3 linked regions of the Canis lupus familiaris genome follow. The protein of the gene in region 2 purifies or fractionates together with the protein of the main gene of each other region. This does not show direct contact. Links are inferred from orthologs where the notes say so. Each region holds a gene or a part of one and is shown on either strand. Other genes may lie near its edges.

Region 1 (2,686 bases), on a different chromosome or scaffold from region 2:
AGTGTTGTGGCATCATGGGTCCCACTTCAAGATTTCCCTTTTCAAGATTAAACCTGTATAGATATTTAAGAGACATTTTCTTTACAGTGTATGGTGGTCGTGTTCTAAGTTGTGTTATTCAGTGTGATCCTCAGACCACCTGGGCTTGCCTTGGACCCCCTAACTCAGCCTTCACGTAACAGAACCCTGAGTAGTTTGAGATGTACCATGGCAGGGCATTTTCCCTCACGTGTCCCGTGGAAGTTACTAAGAATTTATAAATCTCTGTAGGCAAACCAGGACTGTAAAGTTCAATTCTAGACGTCAAGAAATTGACTTTACTAACAAGTTCGGTGTAACTTTGGACCATAATCACCTCTTTTGTTTTAGAAAACAATTGCTCAAGTCTTAGTTCACCTCCACAGAAACGACTACGTGGCTGCAGAGAGGTGTGTCAGGGAGAGCTACAGGTAAGACGCTGGCAGCCCTGTCTTGCAGTGTAGAATTTCTATTTCCCGATGGGAGATCACTGTTTAGACAGCTGTTCTTGGCCAGGAAGCTATTTTTGGTGTTGTAAAAAATTTCATAGTGAAAAAAAATTTTGTAGTGGTAGGTAGACTTACCTGCCAATTCAGCAGTATTTTTTTTTTTTTTTTTTTTTTACAAGTTGTGATCTTTCATGTTTTCCTCCTGGGGATTTCATGGGAGTGAATGACCGGAATGATTTTGTTCCATTTGTCTTCTGAGACAACAACAAAAAGAGTAAAGAAATGTTCTCAGATTGCATGTTACGGGAAGATCATTTCCTGTTGGAGGTAGTTACAGTGAGTGGTCTCAATCTGCGCATGTGTTTGCAAGCCACCCATTTCCCTTGCTCTTCTTGGGCCTGTGCGCTGTGGGATGTCTAGAGTATTCCAGGCCTCTTTCCACCTGTTAACAAAAATGTCTCCAGATATTGCCAAACATCTGGGAGGGGGGCAGAACCCCCTGAGGGCAGGTGGAGGGGTGTGACTCGTGCTTGCTGTAGCATTCCAGGGTTCAGTGGGAGTGAAGACTGTGCTGCCCTGGAACAGCTTCTTGAAGGCTATGACCAACAAGACCAAGACCAAGTATCTGATGTGTGCAACTCGCCACTTTTCAAGTACATGGACAATGATGTAAGTGGCCTTTATTTCTTTTTTCTTGAAAGGTAGAGGTAGAGATTATTTCTCTCCTATGGGCTTGTGAGATTTCCCCCTCTATTTTATACCTCCAGCCACTGCTTACGGAGGAATGTGGCATTGGCACTGAATTTCACTGTATTCTTAGACTGTTTAGATGTCAACCATGTGGGTTTACAGCCTTTTATCTAGCCATCTGATGATGTTGAGTATGTACACTTTTTAATTCGGCTCCATTTCTTGGCCTTTTCTACCACCTTTTGACCTCTGTAAGTTGCTTAGTTTAAGTTTCTTTTAGGCTTCACTTTCTGAAAGAGGCTCATCAGGTAGTGGCCTTTGTAATTTGATACACTTCTCGGAAGCCTACTTCTTTGACAGCTGGTTATGTGATGCTGGTTACTAATGAACTCTGTGAGCCTCCATTAACTCATCCGTAAGAAGGGAGCAGCTGGTCCTTGTCTTGCCAGCCTGTCTTGCAGAATAGATTGGTCTGCATGTGAGAAATGGCCTCACACAGTGCTGTATACAGAACGTGAGCTGTGACTGTGGCTTTCCCTTTTTAGTAGATTTCTGAGCCCAGTTCATTTGATTTGGTATCAGATCAGCTTGAGACCTTTCTTTTTGGTAATGATGTGGATAGAGGACTCCATTTTTTTCCCTAGGTCAAGTCTTATATAGGCTTTTATAAGTTTATTAAGACTTTGTCCCTAGCTTAACTCTTCATTTACTCAACAGATCTTTATTTTGTAGGTACTGCAAGTATTAACTGAGTGTGTCCCAATTATCTCAAATTCCTAAGTGTGGCATATAACTGATGACCAGTTGTATACCTGTCATGTCACGGTCATGAGCCATCTGATGGCAGTGCACTGTTGAATTTTTTGTGGTGGTTTTTACATTTTACTGGTAGTATTGGTTTTCCTGAGGTAGAAAATTAAGATCTCTCTCTTATAGATAGCTACAGTTGACACATGGCATATTGAGATTCCTGTTGTCCAGCTTCTGAGAACATGCTTTGTCATTGACAGTATGCTAAGCTGGGCCTGAGTTTGGTGGTTCCCGGAGGGGGAATCAAGAAGAAACCTGCGGCGCCACAGGCTAAATCTGAAGGTGCCACCGCCCCCACTGCTGAGGAAGACGAAGATGAGTATGCAGGAGGCCTGTGCTAGGATCTTGCTGTGCTGCAGAAAGGAAGAACAAAATCCTGACATGCCATTCATGGACTTGGACCTTGTCTGAGGGGATCCAGATTTCATTGCAGTCATGGCTTTGAAAATGCTACTAGATTCATGTTTAGTCATCATTTCCCTAAGTCACCCATCATACCCACTACCTGAAAACACTTTTTTTTCTTTCCATAGCAGCCTTTCTAAGACACCATAGGAATTAATAGAAAAAAATGTACTATCACATTTTAACACAGTTGATTTTTAATTTGCAAGCTACAAACTGTGTTCTAAACAAAAGGGACAATAGGCATAGAAATTCTTTTCTGTTGGGCTTTTGTGATTTATTGTTAGAGAATTTCCCTTTCGTTTTATTTAATA
Region 2 (3,655 bases):
GTCGGAGAGAGGGGCAGAAACATAAGCAGAGAGAGAAGCAGGTTCCCTTTGAGGAGCCTGATGCAGGACTTAATCCCAGGACCGCAGATCACAATCTGAACCAAAGGCAGACGCTCAACCACTGAGCCATCCAGGCGTCCCTGGGCCACAAGTTCTAATGTTAAAATCATTCCATAAGTTGGGAGATGAAAAATTGACTTTTTGAGGGATGTGATAGTTTTTTAAAATTTGAAATTCTCAAGATATGTGATCCCTAGATTATGAAATGAGTAGGGTTATGTGTTCCTACTCATTTCTTCACTTGTCAACCTTAAGAAAACACAATTCACTTAAGTCACTAAATACTAATGTTACTGACTCCTATTGGCAACTGGCTTGATGGGAGTTACAATGTGAAAGTAGAAGTTGAAAATGAAGAGGGATGTGATTTAAGCTCTAATATGTAGCGAGCACACATAAGATTATTATATATAGTATTGCTTTTATTTCCTTTTTCTCATACTTTAGTCTTTTACTATAGCTACTCCTTTCTACCTCATTCTAACTCTTATATTTACACAACTAGGCTTACCTTGGTGCCATTTAGCATATGTCCCCCACCACCAAGCTGATATGGACAAGATCCTCTCATTACCACTTCATTTCCCATTTTAATCTGAGACACCTACAGTCATTGTGAAGATAGTATTTCTGTCTGCTGAGCTAACTGATTCTAATTTCTAAGTCTATAACCTCTTTTTCTCTTTGTTCTTAATAGAAGGCCACAACTAGTGTACTCCTTACAGAAACAAGCGCATTGGAACTACCCTTTCTCAGGGATTACAAGGGTTTAGGCTCTTGTAGAATCTGACCCAAGAATCTGTTTTATTCTCCTAAATCATGCAAAGTCACCCTAAGTCACCACTCCCCACACCCCATACCCCACTCACTACTGGGTAAAGGTTAAATAAGAATTATAAAGTAATGGGTATTTTGTTTTTGCTTTTATTTGCTTTTCAAACTTTTTACATTAATAAGGATATTGCTCAACACTTTTAGTGTGTAGGAATTATTACTCATCTTTTATACTTTTAAGTGTTTTAGTTTTTATACTAACAACCAAAATGGTTTAAATTATCCTTTTCCTCCATAGGCATTTGGCACAAACCAAGAGGATTATGCAAGTTACATTATGAATGGTATTATCAAATGGGGTGATCCAGTTACTCGAGTTCTGGAAGATGGGGAGCTGCTGGTTCAACAGACTAAAAATAGTGACCGTACACCACTGGTTAGCGTCCTTTTGGAAGGTGAGAAAAAAATGAAGAGATGGCAGTAAGAGAAAAAAAAAAAAAAAAAGCACTTTTACAAAGTTTTTTATTTAGCATATTCCAGAAAAATGGATTATTTTCCATTCTAAATCTCTTCATTATCTAAAAATAGTAATCCAGACTATGTACTTGTATTGTGCATAAATTAAAGTTTTCTTGGAGTAGAATGTTGTTGATAAATGATAGCACTAGTTTTCTTGTGGGAGAGTATCTAAATTTCTGTTACTTCTGCTACCACAGAGTACCTGAGTCAATTACATATTCACCGAGTACTATCTTATGTAATAGACTATATGATACCTCATAGTACTCGATTCAATTAAATAAGTATTCATTGAGTAATTTTAGGCATTGAACCAGTTGCTAAGGATATAAAGACATTCACAGAGTTCAGTCTGGTCATGAAAACAAAGGCATGTAAACAAATTCTTAAGTACAGTATTTATGTGTAAAGATGTGTGAGAATGCAAGTTATTTTGCCTAGGGATGATCAAAGAAAGCTAAAGGTGGTGTTTAATTTAGATTTTGAAGGATTAGTTAGGATTTTACCAAGTAGACAAAAAGGCCAATGACATTCTATTCACTAGTTACTTGTTTACAATTATAATTAGTACAACAGAAACGTTTGTTAAGTCCACATGACAGCAGAATCTCATTCCTTCCAAAGTCTGGGAGTGAGGGCTCCCTGAAACACATTAAGCCAAGACCTGAAGGATGAGGAGAAGCTGGCCCAGCAAAGTAATTGGGGAAGATGTTTGAGGTGGAGGGACCAGTGTGTGAAAAAGGCCTGGGTGGGAAGGGGATTGAAACAGAAAGGGACATTGGCTAGACAAATGCCAATATTTAAGAACCAAGTAGAGCAGGAAGAGTTGACAAAGGACACTAAGCAAGAGTAACCAGAGAGGTAAGAGGGGGAGAAAGAGAAGACGCTATCACAGAAGTCAAGAAAAGTATGTTGCTTTTTTTAAAGGAGTTGTTCATTGTATCAAATATTTCTGAGAAGCCAACAGATAAAGTATCTGTTGGATTTGGTGACATGGAGGTCATTGATGACCCAGATGAAAGCCTGTTCCATGTAATGGCAGTGGAAGCCATAGGGTTTGTTTGAGGATGGAGGGAAAATGAAAACTGAAGGTGGCCAGCGTAGATAATTATTTAGAGAAGTTCCATTTTAAAGGTAAAAGAAGGAGTGGTGTTGAGAAGTGTGAGTCCAGAGTTTTTTGCTCTGTTTATTAAATTGTTAGGTAGGCTAAAGCATGCTGATATGCTGTTGGAAGGGTGATAGGGAAGAGGAAGAGATGGAACATATGGGGAAGAAGATACAGTCAGTGTCAGGTTCCTGAGAAGATGGGAAGGAAAAATTGGTTGGTTTATGGTTGGAAGAGGGACACATCTTCCAGTTCACAGAAGGGAAGAGGAGGAGATGTTTAAATACAGTTGATTTTACAGATTCAATTGCCTTTATGAGAAGGCCTAAATCTTTAAAATTTTAGCTTTGTAGGACACATTTGCTTCTATTAGACAGTTTTTTCCCTGCTCCCAATGTCATCTTCTAAGAAGATCATATTTTTTGTTAGACATATGATTTGATGGAACTAATAACATGAGTTACAGATATGCATTTGTATGCATTCTTTCCTTTTTTTTTTTTTTAGGGAAAAAAAACAACAACCTTGCATTTTATATATTTAGCCAGAAGTTTGAAAGATTAAGACTGTGAGAAAGAAAGAAGGAATGTATTTCATCATACCTTTGAGAAATGCTAATCAGTTCATTAAGTTTAGTTGCTAATAAATAAGAGAAAACATGTCTGCTATGAAATTGTGTCAGGAAATGTTAATGAGCAACTAGTTGAGACCTCAGTACATTGTGGATAAAGGTTTAAACTTGTTTTATTCCCCTTTGCTTAGGTTGGCTTTTTTTCCCTGACTTGCGTATCTTTACACAGGCCCTCCTCATAGTGGGAAGACTGCTTTAGCAGCAAAGATTGCAGAGGAATCCAACTTCCCCTTCATCAAGATCTGTTCTCCTGATAAGATGATTGGCTTTTCTGAGACAGCCAAGTGTCAGGCCATGAAGAAGGTATCAAGATTTTTACTTTCATTTTAATCTCCTATCTCTTAGATACGTGTACACGTACACATGTATGTGTATATCTATCTTTGTACGTGTATATATGTAAAAGCAACAGCAACTATATTCTCAAGTGGAACTAAATTATCAGTAGAATTTGAGTAAAACAATAACTATTTTAGGTAGATTTTGTAATGCATTTTTATTAGCATTGCTTAATCTTCCAAATTATGGGGTTCCTAAAAGATTTTATTTATTTGTGCATGAGAGCA
Region 3 (4,403 bases), on a different chromosome or scaffold from region 2:
TTCTCAGTCATGGCCTTACTGGAGTTGTCTACTGCCACCATTTTGTGGGGTGTTTGTTTTTTATGTCTTGTGCCCACCCCGTGTGCACTCCTTGGTCAGGACAGTTTTTATCATTTCATACATAGAAGCTGTATATAAATGGTAAACATTGGCTTAATGTTTTAGATTAATATAAGTTATAGTTTTGGGAAGAAATTTGTGATAGAACTGAAATGGTTAGCTAATTGATTTACATTTGAAAGTGAAAGTACCCAAATGAACAAGAATCTGCCCTCAGATGTTGGAAAATGGGAAAGTGTATATTTTACATTCCATGAAGACAGTAAAGTAGAACTTTCCCCTAGGGCAGGAGTTGTCATTTCTGTTTCATTGCAGTACACCTAGATCATTGGTGATTCCTTAAAAATACTCGATCAAAATAACACTGAAAAGAACAACAAATATTCCAATAGTAAATTTCTTGGTGAATATGCCAATTAGCTGTAAAAATGCAAGGATAGAATTCTTAAAGGTAAAAGTTCATAACTTTATCAACCTCCCTATTTTTCCCCACCCATCAGTCCCTAGAGGCCACTTTTTTTGTTTTCATGAATTAGACTTTTTTTTTTTTTTTAAGATCCTACATACATAGTTCATTTGATGCAGGAACAAACTCTTTCAGCTTTAAGATACAAGGTCTGAGACCTAATATATAACATGGTGACTACAGTTGATAACTGTATTGTATAATTGCAGTTTGCTAATAGATTTTAAATGTTTTCCACCAAAACGAAGATAAATATGTGAGGTAATGGATGTGCTAACTACATGGGGGAAACCTTTTCACAAAAGTGTTATATACATCTAGCAAATCATCACGTCGTAACTTTACGTTCCAAATTTTGTCAGTTCTACCTCCATAAAGTCGAAAAACTTTTTTAAATTAAAATAACTAAAATTAGTTATCAATAGCAGATACGTCTTGTCATCATACAGCTTCACCTGTACATTAGAATACCAGCTGTGTCTGCTATCCTCCCACACCCGTTAGGTGATTTTTGCAGTTACTTGAAGGAAAATAGGTATCAGTTTGCCGATTTGCACCTTTCTAGCTCCTGTGTTCATGTAGGTAAAACATTACCATAAAACTAGACCATTTTGCCTAACAGATGAGATTGAAATATCTGCCAGATTAGAGCAATGCTCCAAAACCGCCTGTTTCCCGGAAAGGGGGGGAGGGGCAAAGGGGAGACTTCTCTTGCTGCTCGGGGAAACAGAAATGAGCTCGCATTGAAACGCCTACTTTGTTCCTGGAGCTTCATTTACTTTAGTCCAGTGATCCTGAAACCCCTAGCTCAGTCTCAACATCTAAGACATCTGAAAACGACCAATTTGGTATTTATTACAAACCCCACGCTCCTCCCCAAGAGTTCGGCTTAAAGCAGCTACCATTTGGGAAGCTGTGGCTTCTTCATTAGGGTAACAACCCCGGTTCCCAGCTGGAAAGTAAACCCCACGAGGGGCTCGGGTGTGAATCCCCTGGGTCTCCCGAGTCCTGGGGAGAGCGGAAGCCGCCGCGATCCGGCCCCCGAGAGCCTCCCTCGGCCCCGCCCCGTGGCCTTTGCTTCCGGGGCAGTCGGGCAGCCACGTAATCGGGCTGTGCTCGCCAACCGGGCAGTGGATGGTGGGAGTCAAGATGGCGGCGCCTGCAGCGGCGAGTATTCGAGACAGACAAACCGGTACGATCTATTCCCTTCTCCCAGCGGTTTTCTGCCTGCAGTGGGGACATCCTTTGCCTGTCGCCCCGCCTGGGTCGCGGTGCGTGCAGCTTGGAGACGGCCTTCCAGAGGCTCATTCCAGGTCCTAGAGCATCGAGAGCCCCTCCCCTTTTGAGTTTTTAGGGAAGAGATGCCGGTAGCTTGAGAACCCGGCCCCTCTTACGTGGTTCAGAAGAAGGGGCTTCCAGGTGGGCAGTTTGCTACAGCCCTGCTCTTGCCCCTTTTCTACTGGGCCTTAGAAGGCCATCGCAAAAAGATCCGGCAGCTGGCATTTCTCCCCCTCTGTTGCTACCCATGAAGTCTCCGGGTTTGTTTCTCTGCGGGATTCAGTTCATTTAGTTTTAATGTTGGGAGTTTTCCGTTTTAACGCTTCCTCCACAATTACAAAATTTAGATATTCTTTCTGAGCAGCTTGCGTTCTGCCATTTCTCTTTGGGCCAATCTTTTGGGGGTACCTGAATAGAAATGCCTAGTGGTAAAGATTTCCTTCTTTAGTTCGCTGGAATGGAATTGAAGAATAGCCAAAAAACAGTGGATTAGTAGCTTTGTCATTTTAACCGTTTGACAGATTAGTATTTTAAAACTTTTAGTTTCATCCTCGATAGAGCAGTTATATAGCTTTCATTTGTACAGTGAAATGTTTTTTAAAAGTACAGATTTTTTCCCTTAAGCTTCGATATTTTTTCCGTCTTAGATATTTTGTTGTTCCTTATTTTTTGTAAACTTCTGATAAACATGGTTTATACCTGTTAGCTCCAAACCAACTAGCTAATTGGCCTGGAAGTTGGCAAGCTGTTCATTCTGAGGAGCTAATAGAATTTGTAAATGGTCCCTTGTATTATGTTCTTTTGCATGTTAATCTGAATTGGAAAATAAATGGTTACAATTGATATGGTTTACAGGAGGGGTTTTGGTTGTGCTTGATTCCTTCCTTTAGAATTCAGAGAAAAAATTAATAGACTTTAATCTAGTAACGACAGAGAGTGAATTTGGAATTGTGTTCTGCTTTTCCCATTAGATCATTTAGTATAAGCTATCAGATGAAGTTAGGCATAATTTAAGTAAGATTTGGGGAATACCTGCCACATATTTTATATGTAAGCAAATAGAAGCCCCACTTGTCTTTGCAGTATGGTTCTGACAGCTTAATGAAGCTCAATGAACTAGGTCATACTACATATTAAAACAACATAACAAGGACAGCTTAACCAATACAAAGGAGACTTTCCAAAAAAATGGAACTTGTAGTAATTTTTATATGAAGAAACTTTTTGGAATATTAAAATCTAGTATAATTTTGATTTCTGTGAAAATAAACCATTATAGTGAGATTTCACATTATAACTAGATAGTTGATGCCACATTAATCATTTATCAAATTGATACTCTAGTTGAGTTCTCTTATTTTCAGAGAAAGGTAAAACCCCATATGTGTTATAGTAGCAGAAGTAAACATTTCCCTGATGTTCCCCATATTCCCTGATGCATAAGAATATCCTGGGAAGTAGCTCAAAATCAATTCTCAAATATTCTAGATACAGGACACTGTGATACAGAGGAATTTGCAATCTATTTGGGTAGAGAATAGCTGATACTGAGCATTTAGTATAGCTAGGCATTGTTGTAAGTGATTTTACCAGTATTATTTTGTAGATGAGGAAACTGAGGTATAGAGAGGGTAACTAGCATGCCTGTTTTTTGCTTTGCCTGCTTGAAGAATATTTGTCTTTTAAAGGTCACCTTAAAAGTCATCTTGTTTGTGAAACTTTCCTGAAACACTCCCCTCTTTATTCTCACCTTTAGTTCAACTGGCAAAGTCCTGTTACCGTAGTCTTTCATGCATGCCTCCTCTTTGGTGGTTCTTGTTCACCATCCCCACTTCTCAACATTGGAAAGCCACACATCAACTGCTTTCTCTCTTGCAGTGATCTCATGTGGCCTCTTGGCTTTAGGTACTATAAATATAGTACCAAAATATCGTAACAAAATATAGTAACAAAATATCGGGGACTCCAGGGGAGCTCCAGTGCTGGACACTCACAGGCATTCAAGCAGAATTACTTTGAAGGCTACGCTAGTGTTTGATTTTTAATAGTTTTTTTCAATCACTGACTTACTGATCTAGTTTTCCGTATATTTGGGTAATTATCAAGTAATCTGAAACATTTGGCTGGAATATACAACACTTTTGGCCTAAAAATTATCATCAGTTGCCACAGTAATTCTTACACTGTAACCAAAGACAGTTTTTAAAAGGAAACACCTTTCCACAGACCTATTCCTGGGTTATTTTTCGTACTACTTTTTCTGTCTTACCTGGAAATAATTTACAAAAATAACTTCCTGAAATTTGCACTATATGTACATATGCTATATTATGCTAGTATACTAGGACAGAGTTGCCAATTAGCGGATATGGGTGGATAGAGTTCCTCTGAACTCTTAGATTTGATCTAAGCAATTAGATCAACTCTTAGTTGCTTAGATCACCATGTCAACTCCATCCTTGTAGATAGTTGCTCAGGTCAAAGCTTTTAAGGTTTCTTCACTTCTCTTTTTCATATCCCATATCAGACCTGTGGGTAAATCTTATCAGCTCTACTCTGAAAATATATCCACAATATGACTATTGTTACTGTTATCACA

What was found.
Region 1: the proteins of NSF (region 2) and NAPG purify together in Homo sapiens (affinity purification with mass spectrometry; 3 studies listed by BioGRID and IntAct, with this or other methods). This does not show direct contact. The link is inferred for Canis lupus familiaris from reciprocal best matches to the Homo sapiens genes NSF and NAPG.
Region 3: the proteins of NSF (region 2) and SCFD1 purify together in Homo sapiens (affinity purification with mass spectrometry; 3 studies listed by BioGRID and IntAct, with this or other methods). This does not show direct contact. The link is inferred for Canis lupus familiaris from reciprocal best matches to the Homo sapiens genes NSF and SCFD1.

Annotation. Positions count from the first base shown.
Region 1 is NC_049228.1:76,506,822-76,509,507, forward strand, and holds part of NAPG (gamma-soluble NSF attachment protein), read left to right. Parts: intron 1-369; coding exon 370-449; intron 450-1,006; coding exon 1,007-1,136; intron 1,137-2,093; coding exon of another isoform or gene 2,094-2,167; coding exon 2,168-2,308; 3' UTR 2,309-2,686. UniProt on the Homo sapiens protein: Required for vesicular transport between the endoplasmic reticulum and the Golgi apparatus.
Region 2 is NC_049230.1:16,840,099-16,843,753, reverse strand, and holds part of NSF (vesicle-fusing ATPase), read left to right. Parts: intron 1-1,132; coding exon 1,133-1,289; intron 1,290-3,258; coding exon 3,259-3,392; intron 3,393-3,655.
Region 3 is NC_049229.1:10,106,408-10,110,810, forward strand, and holds the start of SCFD1 (sec1 family domain-containing protein 1), read left to right. Parts: upstream 1-1,594; 5' UTR 1,595-1,660; coding exon 1,661-1,718; intron 1,719-4,403. UniProt on the Homo sapiens protein: Plays a role in SNARE-pin assembly and Golgi-to-ER retrograde transport via its interaction with COG4. Involved in vesicular transport between the endoplasmic reticulum and the Golgi.